3 linked regions of the Callithrix jacchus genome follow. The protein of the gene in region 1 purifies or fractionates together with the protein of each later gene. This does not show direct contact. Links are inferred from orthologs where the notes say so. Each region holds a gene or a part of one and is shown in the gene's direction. Other genes may lie near its edges.

Evidence for each region.
Region 2: the proteins of PAXIP1 (region 1) and NCOA6 purify together in Homo sapiens (co-immunoprecipitation; 6 studies listed by BioGRID and IntAct, with this or other methods). This does not show direct contact. The link is inferred for Callithrix jacchus from reciprocal best matches to the Homo sapiens genes PAXIP1 and NCOA6.
Region 3: the proteins of PAXIP1 (region 1) and KDM6A purify together in Homo sapiens (affinity purification with mass spectrometry; 6 studies listed by BioGRID and IntAct, with this or other methods). This does not show direct contact. The link is inferred for Callithrix jacchus from reciprocal best matches to the Homo sapiens genes PAXIP1 and KDM6A.

What each region holds. Positions count from the first base shown.
Region 1 is NC_133512.1:93,231,028-93,234,679, forward strand, and holds part of PAXIP1 (PAX-interacting protein 1), read left to right. Parts: intron 1-292; coding exon 293-968; intron 969-1,449; coding exon 1,450-1,544; intron 1,545-3,652.
Region 2 is NC_133506.1:4,564,814-4,568,465, forward strand, and holds part of NCOA6 (nuclear receptor coactivator 6), read left to right. Parts: intron 1-1,024; coding exon 1,025-3,652. UniProt on the Homo sapiens protein: Nuclear receptor coactivator that directly binds nuclear receptors and stimulates the transcriptional activities in a hormone-dependent fashion. Coactivates expression in an agonist- and AF2-dependent manner.
Region 3 is NC_133524.1:45,987,271-45,990,922, forward strand, and holds part of KDM6A (lysine-specific demethylase 6A), read left to right. Parts: coding exon 1-274; intron 275-3,652. UniProt on the Homo sapiens protein: Histone demethylase that specifically demethylates 'Lys-27' of histone H3, thereby playing a central role in histone code. Demethylates trimethylated and dimethylated but not monomethylated H3 'Lys-27'.

The sequences.
Region 1 (3,652 bases):
GCAAACCCTGTGTCATTGTCACTTTAATTTGTTAGCTTATTCCATTTTACTGATGTAGTTTCATATTTTGATGGTCTCTATGTATGAATTTACTTTGTGATATTGGTGTTACAAAATAAATATAAAAGCAAATGCAGTATCGTTTTTGAAGTTTCCAATCATTTGCTGTGTCTGCTTGGTTGAATATTATGAATAAATCTGTAGGATATGCTATTATTCTCTTGACTAAGAAACTGTCATTCGTCCATTTCAGGAACTGTTGATCATGTTTGACCTAACTTTTGTTTTGTAGATCTTACAGACTCTTTCAGCACCTACGAAAAATTTGGAACAGCAGGTGAATCACAGCCAGCAGGGCCATACAAATGCCAGTGCAGTGCTGTTCAGCCAAGTGAAAGTGACTCCGGAGACACACATGTTACAGCAGCCGCCGCAGCACCCGGTTTTACACCTTCAGCCCCAGCAGATAATGCAGCTCCAGCAGCAGCAGCAGCAGCTTTCTCAGCACCCTTACCCCCAGCAGCCGCCACACCCATTTTCACAGCAGCAGCAGCAGCAGCAGCAGCAGCAGCAAACCCATCAGCATCAGTTTTCGCAGCAACAGCTACAGTTTCCACAGCAACAGTTGCATCCTCCGCAGCAGTTGCATCGCCCTCAGCAGCAGCTCCAGTCCTTTCAGCAGCAGCATGCCCTGCAGCAGCAGTTCCATCAGCTGCAGCAGCAGCAGCTCGCCCAGCTCCAGCAGCAGCAGCAGATTCAGCAGCAGCAGCTCCAGCGCATGCAGCAGCAGCAGCAGCAGCAGCAGCAGATGCAAAGTCAGACCATGCCACACTTGAGTCAAACGTCACAGGCACTGCAGCATCAGGTTCCATCTCAGCAGCCTTCACAGCAGCAGCAGCAGCAGCAGCCACCACCGCCACCACCACCTCAGCATCATCAGCTTTTTGGACATGATCCAGCAGTGGAGAGTTAGTAATGGAGATTTTTTTTTCCTCCTAAAAGTCTTGTACCCGCATAAATGCTTTGAGAGTGTTTGAGTGTTGGGTAAGGATTCATATCAAAACAATTATTACAAGATGGAGAATGTGAGCCTCATACCTGACTAAGAATATAGTTATCACAGGATGATTATGCTTTCCTTTATACTTTGGGACATCGTATGCTGAAGTGAATATTGGGTCCCATAGAACATCTGGGTTGCCCCAGGGACACATTTGGGTATTTAATGGCCAGGCATAATTTATTTTGCTTTTAGTTTTTAATGTTTGTTTGATGCAGACAGTTAACTAGTATAATTGTAGCAGTATTCCCCATGCACTCTGATTACTGGCAGATACATGGTAAAGACTGGTGAACATAACAGATTCACATTGTAAGGTGCCACTTTTTAACTTGTGCAAGCACATTTATCAGGTTTAATTTTCTTTTTCTTACATAATTTTATTCTAGTTCCAGAAGAAGCCTTCTTATTGGGATGTGTGTTTGCAATTGCGGATTATCCAGAGCAGATGTCTGATAAGCAACTGCTGGCCACATGGAAAAGGGTAAGATTGTGCCTGGAGGAAGGATGACTTTGTGTCTGAAGATGCTTCTTTCTTACGTAGACGTAACTATGTTCACTAGACTGCATTCGCTGAGCTGCGCCTACATGTGTTCTGATGCGTGACAGGCATTTTGATTAACATTCTCTGACCTCAGGCACAGTGCTTTTCTGGGCATCAGTTTTCTCAGCTGTTAGATGAAGATGGTGGACATTTTTTTTTTCCAGCTTGGAAATTCCGAGAGGTACTAATTATTTGTATATAATTGGGATGATGGAAATAAGTTCGGGTTTTTGGTGTCCTGGGAGAAGGACCATTAATTTGTATGCATCTCAGTCATTTCTCTTTCTCCAAAGGTAACTGTTAGGAATCCCGGAATCTCTAGAACCTCAAAGTCTTTTAGCCCAAATGTGAAACTAGTTCATTTATCTATTTATTATCTTGCATGGTGGCCTTTAAAGAAAAGACATGCTTTTTCTTTCTTGCATTCCACAGAATAATACTGAGTCAAAAAAACATTTTTTTTTTAATAAAAACTGAGTTTAAATATGCCTCTAATACATTTTTAATGTGCTTCACCATAAACATCCCTAGTGCTTAAATCCCTGCTATATGCCAAGCCTGCAAGACCTAGGGAAGGTATGTGAAATCGCAGAGACAAAGAAAGCCAAAGAGCTGTGGGAGACGCAGGTTGGCAGGTGCAGGCCGTTGTGAGAGCCTGAGAAGGACCCTCACCCATTGTGTTGTGGGGTGATGTGTTAAGAAAAGTCTACTGGGAGAGGTGATTCCTGAACTGCTTATGGAATGGCTAGGAGTAAGAATTAGGCGGGAAGGAGTTTGCAAATAGTGCAGCACAGGCGAAGGCATGTAATTGGGGAAACTGACAGGAGGGTGCAAAGGATGGTGCCTCAGTGGGATCCGCAAGGCAGGAGGGGGTACAGGAGCCAGGGCTGGCCTGTCTTCCGTGTCTTCCAAGAACTTGTTGATGTACCGTGTGGTGGAATTTCGATGCAGGTGGAGTGATCGGCTGTGTGTTTTAAGTAGTAAAGTGTTGAATCTGAGAGCAACCAGGGAGATGACTGTGGTCGGCTGGGGAGAGAGGCAAAGGACATGCCGGGGTGAGGGAGGGAGGGGCAGTTCTGAGAAGGGCAGCAGCAGAAACTTTTTAAAAGTCAACAAGTGTTCAAAGGCAACATTGAGAAACTGTCCTGAGAAGTACAATGAAACTCAAAGATATGAAAGTTAGTGGAGAAAAGTTTGGGTTTTTGGTCTTGTTCTCAAGTTAAAGGATTTATCTGAGAGGTCTGACATTAAATAGGAGCTTGGGAACAGAGAAAATGAAGGCAAAAACGTTAGGAAAGAACGTAGCTTGGCAGCTGAAGGCTGTGTGCCCCCAGATTGAAGAGAAATGGAAGGAGAGCTGTGATAAGGCTTCTGGGAACGTTCACAAGGCTGGAGAGAACACTTTTCTGTCAGACAAACGCAAGTTCCCTGGAAGGGAAACTTGGACAGATCAGGAGTCGGGGTGGTTTCAGGAGCCAGCGACAGAGCAGCAGCTTTTGTTTTCGAGGGGAAATAATTTCCAACCTAAATAGAGCCTGTTAGTCACAAGAAATGGAATATGGATATTTGTATACTAATGGTCAAAAAAGTACCTCCCTTGTATTCTTCCTTAGGAAGCCACTATGCCAGTAGAGAGTAAGATGTGGTAAGAAATGAGGGATTTGACTCCGAGATGGGAAGAGAATTGCCAGGATGGAGGTGAGGGGAAATGCCAGATGAGAAAGTAGGTGTGGAGAAAACCAGACTTGGGACCAGAAGGGAGGCTTCCTGGGTAGCAAACAAACAAAGGCACTGGTAGATTCCGGAGGGACGGGTACGGTTGATCCCTGAATAGTCTGGGCCCTAGGGGTGCTGACCGCCACGCAATCAGAGATCTGTGCATCACTTGTGAGTCCCCAAAACCTGAATTACTGATAGCCTAGAGTTAATCCGAAGCCTTAGAGATAAAGTCAGTTAATGCAGATTTTATATGTCTAATACTGTATTTTTACAATAAAGTAAGCTAAAGAAAAGAAAATGTTATTAAGAAAATCATAAGAGAAAATACA
Region 2 (3,652 bases), on another chromosome or scaffold:
ACCACTGTTACTCTTGGTTTGCATATCTTTTTATCCTTTCTGATTGTCAAGTTTTGGTTCTAAAATGCCAAGTAAAATCTTTACAAAAGAGAGAATCATTTGAGATGTTGCCCTCTGCATATCTAGAAGACATTGTCCTTCAGGTTTCTTTTCCCAAAATTATTTTTTATTCCTGAGGGCTATGCTTCTGTCTTATTCTCAAGCTGTGGATTCATGGAAACTATTTCTCCAAATAGAGATTTGCATGTAAGAAAGTAAATGGAAATTAATAACACTTCAGTGCCCTAGTTTTATTTTCAGTGTGTATATCAGCTTCTGTTAGCTCCTGCTATTTACCAAACTGATTTACGTCTGAGGGGCAATTTTAATTCAGTTGGTTTCCCCCAAAGGATTAAGCCTCAAGGATGCGGCATAGTGTATGAAGCCAATGAATTGGAATAATTTTAAATCTTTCTTAAGGAACTGAGTCCTAGAATTTTATATTTTACTTCTGTTGAAAGAATAAAAAGCCTGTCTTCAATTCTGCTATTTTCAATAAAATCACATCTTTTTAAAAAATTATTCCTGTTCTAACAGAAGAAGTGAATCCTAAATGCTTTACTTCATTCACAAGTACATTGAAATATTGATTATGTCTACATGAGACCTGAATCCTGGGTGGCCAGGCACTTGCTGTTGATGGAGTTTTTTTCATTTCACCTGAATGTTTGGCTGGTATAGGCTCAGTTATTTTCAGTGCATAGCACAGAAAATCAGGCTGTGAGTACAGTCATGGTTCATTCAGACCCTGCACACCAAGGAGCTCTAGGTTTTTGATGCTTTGCTTTTTGCTTCCTTAAGCACTGTGTCCCTTTTGCTTATATCACATAATGAGGGGCTGCCCCATGCCACAGGAGTGGGCGTGCCTGAGCTGTTTGTGCATAATCTGTGCCACCTAGATGAGTATTGCTTGGCTATACTCTAAAGGTAGCAACATTTTCTTGCTGAAAAATCTAACTTCCCTGATTTGGGGGGCTTGTTTTAGGTTATCCTTCTCAACCAGTTGAACAGAGGCCACTTCAGCAGATGCCTCCTCAACTCATGCAGCATGTGGCACCCCCACCACAGCCACCACAGCAGCAGCCACAGCCACAACTGCCTCAGCAGCAGCAGCCACCACCTCCCAGTCAGCCACAGTCACAGCAGCAGCAGCAACAGCAGCAGCAGCAGCAGCAAATGATGATGATGCTCATGATGCAGCAGGATCCCAAATCAGTTAGGCTTCCAGTCTCTCAAAGTGTCCATCCTCCAAGAGGCCCCCTGAATCCTGACTCCCAGAGAATGCCCATGCAACAGAGTGGCAGTATGCCTGTCATGGTCAGTCTGCAAGGACCTACCTCCGTGCCACCATCACCTGATAAACAAAGAATGCCAATGCCTGTGACTACTCCTTTGGGAAGCAATTCAAGGAAAATGGTCTATCAGGAGAGCCCGCAGAATCCTTCCAGCTCACCACTGGCGGAGATGGCCTCACTCCCTGAAGCAAGTGGCAGTGAAGCACCATCTGTCTCAGGAGGCCCAAACAACATGCCGTCACATGTAGTACTTCCCCAAAATCAGTTAATGATGACAGGGCCAAAACCTGGACCATCACCCCTTTCAGCAACTCAAGGTGCAACCCCCCAGCAACCCCCTGTAAATTCCCTGCCCAGCTCTCACGGCCACCACTTTCCAAATGTGGCCGCACCAACCCAGACATCTAGGCCCAAAACACCAAACAGAGCCAGCCCCAGACCCTATTATCCTCAGACACCCAACAACCGCCCTCCCAGCACAGAACCTTCAGAAATCAGTCTGTCACCAGAAAGACTCAATGCCTCCATAGCAGGACTCTTCCCTCCACAGATTAATATTCCTTTACCTCCTAGGCCAAATTTAAACAGGGGCTTTGATCAACAAGGCCTAAATCCAACAACTTTGAAGGCCATTGGGCAAGCACCTTCAAATCTTACGATGAATCCTTCCAATTTTGCTGCCCCACAAACTCACAAGTTAGACTCTGTGGTAGTGACTTCTGGAAAGCAGTCTAATTCTGGAGCAACGAAACGGGCAAGTCCAAGCAACAGTCGCAGGTCTAGTCCTGGGTCCAGTAGGAAAACCACTCCAAGCCCTGGAAGGCAAAATTCTAAAGCCCCTAAACTTACTCTGGCCTCTCAAACAAATGCAGCCCTGTTGCAGAATGTGGAGTTGCCGAGAAATGTATTGGTCAGTCCCACTCCTCTGACCAATCCCCCTGTGCCGGGAAGCTTTCCTAACAACAGTGGGCTAAATCCTCAGAATCCTACTGTGTCTGTGGCTGCAGTTGGGGGTGTTGTTGAGGATAACAAGGAGAGCTTGATTGTGCCTCAGGACAGTGATTGCCAGAATTCCCAGGGTAGGAAGGAACAGGTAAACGTTGAGTTAAAAGCAGTCCCTGCCCAAGAAGTTAAAATGGTTGTCCCTGAAGATCAATCCAAAAAGGATGGGCAGCCTTTGGATCCTAACAAACTTCCCAGTGTTGAAGAGAACAAAAATTTGGTGTCTCCTGCTATGAGGGAAGCACCAACATCGTTAAGTCAACTTCTTGACAACTCTGGAGCTCCTAATGTGACGATTAAACCCACTGTGCTTACAGATCTGGAAGTAACACCTCCAGTAGTTTCTGGGGAGGACCTCAAAAAAGCATCTGTCATTCCCACATTGCAGGATCCGTCTTCTTCTAAAGAACCCTCTAATTCCTTAAATTTACCTCACAGTAATGAGCCGTGTTCAACCCTTGTGCATCCCGAATTGAGTGAGGTCAGTTCTAACGTTGCACCAAGCATCCCTCCAGTAATGTCAAGACCTGTTAACTCTTCCTCCATTTCCACTCCCTTGCCCCCAAATCAAATAACTGTATTTGTCACTTCCAATCCCATCACAACTTCAGCTAACACATCAGCAGCTTTGCCAACTCACTTGCAGTCTGCATTGATGTCAACAGTCGTCACAATGCCCAACGTGGGCAGCAAGGTTATGGTTTCTGAGGGACAGTCAGCTGCTCAGTCTAATGCCCGGCCTCAGTTCATTACACCTGTCTTTATCAATTCATCTTCAATAATTCAGGTTATGAAAGGATCACAGCCAAGCACAATTCCTGCAGCCCCACTGACAACCAACTCTGGCTTGATGCCTCCCTCTGTCGCAGTTGTTGGCCCTTTACACATACCTCAGAACATAAAATTTTCTGCTCCTGTACCGCCTAATACCCCCTCCAGTAGTTCTGCTCCAAACATACAGACAGGTCGACCTTTGGTCCTTAGCTCACGAGCCACCCCTGTTCAGCTTCCTTCCCCTCCTTGTACATCTTCTCCAGTTGTCCCTCTTCATCCCCCTGTCCAGCAAGTGAAAGAATTGAATCCAGATGAGGCTAGCCCTCAGGTGAACACCTCAGCAGATCAGAACACTCTTCCCTCTTCACAGTCAACCACAATGGTTTCTCCCCTTTTGACTAATAGTCCAGGGTCCTCTGTCAACCGGCGAAGCCCAGTCTCATCTAGTAAGGGCAAAGGAAAAGTGGACAAAATTGGCCAGATTTTGTTGACCAAGGCATGTAAGAAAGTCACAGGCTCTCTTGAGAAAGGGGAAGAACAAT
Region 3 (3,652 bases), on another chromosome or scaffold:
AGACTGATAACTCTGTTGCCTCTTCACCATCTTCAGCCATTTCCACAGCAACACCTTCTCCAAAATCCACTGAGCAGACAACCACAAACAGTGTTACCAGCCTTAACAGCCCTCACAGTGGGCTACACACAATTAATGGAGAAGGGATGGAAGAATCTCAGAGCCCCATGAAAACAGATCTACTTCTAGTTAACCACAAACCTAGTCCTCAGATCATACCATCAGTGTCTGTGTCCATATATCCCAGCTCAGCAGAAGTTCTGAAGGCATGCAGGTTAGTGTGCAAAAGTTCGTCAAGTGAAAATGCTTGACTTACTGGCATGATAAGAATGCTGAAACATAATTTGGATCTTTTAAGCTATGGAAAGTAAGCAAAACATGCTGTAGTCATTCATCTAAAGTAAGAGTTTGACAGAAGCCTTGATATGCTTAGATGTTGAGGTCAAATTGATGTATCAGATTTGAGAAGTAATCCTGTAAATTGCTTTTTTTTTTTTTTAACCCCCTTTTTTTTTTAAATTGTACTTTAGGTTCTGGGGTACATGTGCAGATCATGCAGGATTGTTGCATAGGTACACACATGGCAATGTGGTTTGCTGCCTTCATGCCCCCGTCACCTACATATGGCATTTCTCCCCATGTTATCCCTCCCTGACCTCCCCCACATCTCGCTGTCCCTCCCTTGGCCCTACCCCCAACAGACCCCCCAGTGTGTGATGCTCCCCTCCCTGTGTCCATGTGTTCTCATTGTTCATCACCTGCCTATGAGTGAGAACATGTGGTGTTTGATTTTTTTTTGTTTTTGTGTCAGTTTGCTGAGAATTAGGTTTCCAGATTCATCCATGTCCCTACAGAGGACACAAACTCATCGTTTTTTATGGCTGCATAGTATTCCATGGTGTATATGTGCCACATTTTCCTTGTCTAGTCTATCATCAGTGGGCATTTGGGTTGGTTCCAGGTCTTTGCTATTGTAAACAGTGCTACTATGAACATATGTGTGCATGTGTCTTTATAATAGAATGATTTGTAATCCTTTGGATATATACCCAGTAATGGGATTGCTGGATCAAATGGAATTTGTATTTCTAGGTCCCTGAGGAAGCGCCACACTGTCTTCCACAATGGTTGAACTAGTTTACATTCCCACCAACAGTGTAAAAGTGTTCCTATTTCTCCACATCCTCTCCAGCATCTGTTGTCTCCAGATTTTTTTAATGATTGCTATTCTAACTGGCGTGAAGTGGTATCTCAATGTGGTTTTAATTTGCGTTTCTCTAATACTCAGTGATGATGAGCATTTTTTCATATGTTTGTTGGCCTCAAATGTCTTCTTTTGAAAAATATCTGTTCATATCCTCCTCCCACTTTTGGATGGGTTTGTTTTTTTCTTGTAAATCTGTTTTATTTCTTTGTAGATTCTGTATATTAGCCCTTTGTCAGATAGGTGGATTGCAAAAATTTTTTCCTATTCTGTTGGTTGCCAGTTCACTCTAATGATTGTTCCTTTTGCTGTACAGAAGCTCTGGAGGTTAATTAGGTCCTATTTGTCTATTTTGGCTTTCATTGCCAATGCTTCTGGTATTTTAGTCATGAAGTCCTTGCCTATGTCCTGAATGGTTTTGTCTAGGTTTTTTTTTTTTTTTTTTTTTTTTGAGACGGAGTTTCGCTCTTGTTACCCAGGCTGGAGTGCAATGGCGTGATCCGGCTCACCGCAACCTCCGCCTCCTGGGTTCAGGCAATTCTCCTGCCTCAGCCTCCTGAGTAGCTGGGATTACAGGCACGTGCCACCATGCCCAGCTAATTTTTTGTATTTTTAGTAGAGATGGGGTTTCACCATGTTGACCAGCATGGTCTCGATCTCTCGTGATCCACCCACCTTGGCCTCCCAAAGTGCTGGGATTACAGTCTTGAGCCACCGCGCCCGGCCTGTCTAGGTTTTCTTCTAGGGTTTTTATGGTGTTAGGTATTATGTTTAAATCTTTAATCCATCTGAAGTTAATTTTAGTGTAAGGTGTCAGGAAGGGGTCCAGTTTCAGCTTTCTGCACTGCTAGTCAGTTTTCCTAACACCATTTATTAAACAGGGAATCCTTTCCCCATTGCTTGTTTTTGTCAGGTTTGTCAAAGATCGGATGGTTGTAGATGTGTGGTGTTGCCTCCAAGGTCTCTATTCTGTTCCATTGGTTTATATATCTGTTTTGGTACCAGTACCATGCTGTTTTGATTACTGTAGCTTTGTAGTATAGTTTGAAATCAGGTAGCATGATGCCTCCACCTTTGTTCTTTTTGCTTAGAATTGTCTTGGCTATGTGGGCTCTCTTTTGGTTCCATATGAAGTTTAAGGTGGTTTTATCCAGTTCTTTGATGAAGGTCATTGGTAGCTTTATGGGGATAGCATTGAATCTAGAAAATACTTTGAGCAGTATGGCCATTTTCACGATATTGATTCTTCCTAATCATGAGCATGGAATGTTTTTCCATCTGTTTGTGTCCTCTCTCATTTTGTTGAGCAGTGGTTTGTAGTTCTCGAAGAGGTCCTTTGCATCCCTTGTTAGTTGTATTTCTAGGTATTTTATTCTCTTTGTAGCAATTGTGAATGGGATTTCACTCATGATTTGGCTCTCTGTTAGTCTGTTATTGTATATAGAAATGCTTGTGATTTTTGCACATTGATTTTGTATCCTGAGACTTTGCTGAAGTTGCTTATCAGTTTAAGGAGATTTTGGGCTGAGATGATGGGGTCTTCTGAATACACAATCATGTCTTCTGCAGATAGAGACAATTTGACTTCCTCTTTTCCTAATTGAATACCCTTTATTTTTTTGCTTGCCTAATTGCTCTGCCTAGAACTTCCAATACTATATTGAATAGGAATGGTGACAGAGGGTATCCTTGTCTACTGCCGGATTTCAAAGAGAATGCTTCCAGTTTTTCCCCATTCAGTATGATATTGGCTGTAGGGTTGTTGTAAATAGCTTTTATTATTTTGAGATACAGTCCATCAATACCTAGTTTATTGAGAGTTTTTAGCATAAAGGGCTGTTGAATTTTGTCAAGGGCCTTCTCTGCATCTGTTTAGATAATCATGTGGTTTTTGTCTTTGGTTCTGTTTATGTGGTGAATTATGTTTATAGGCTTGTGTATGTTGAACCAGTCTTGCATCCCTGGGATGAAGCCTACTTGATCGTGATGGATAAGTTTTTTTATGTGCTGTTGTATTTGGTTTGCCAGTATTTTATTGAAGATTTTTGCATCTATGTTCATCATAGATATTGGCCTGAAGTTTTCTTTTCTTGCTGAGTCTCCGCCGGGTTTTGGTATCAGGATGATTTTGGCTTCATAAAATGATTTGGGAAGTATTCCCTCTTTTTGTACTGTTTGGAATAGTTTCAGAAGGAATGGTACCAGCTCGTCTTTGTACGTCTGGTAGAATTCAGCTGTGAACCCATCTAGACCTGGACTTTTTTTGGTTGGTAGGCTATTAATTGCTGCCTCAACTTCAGCCCTTGTTACTGGTCTGTTCAAGGTTTCAACTTCTTCCTGGTTTAGGCTTGGGAGGGTGCAAGTGTCTAGGAATTTATTAGTTTCTTCCGGGTTTACTGGTTTATGTGCATAGAGTTGTTTGTAGTAATCTCTGATTGTCATTTGTAT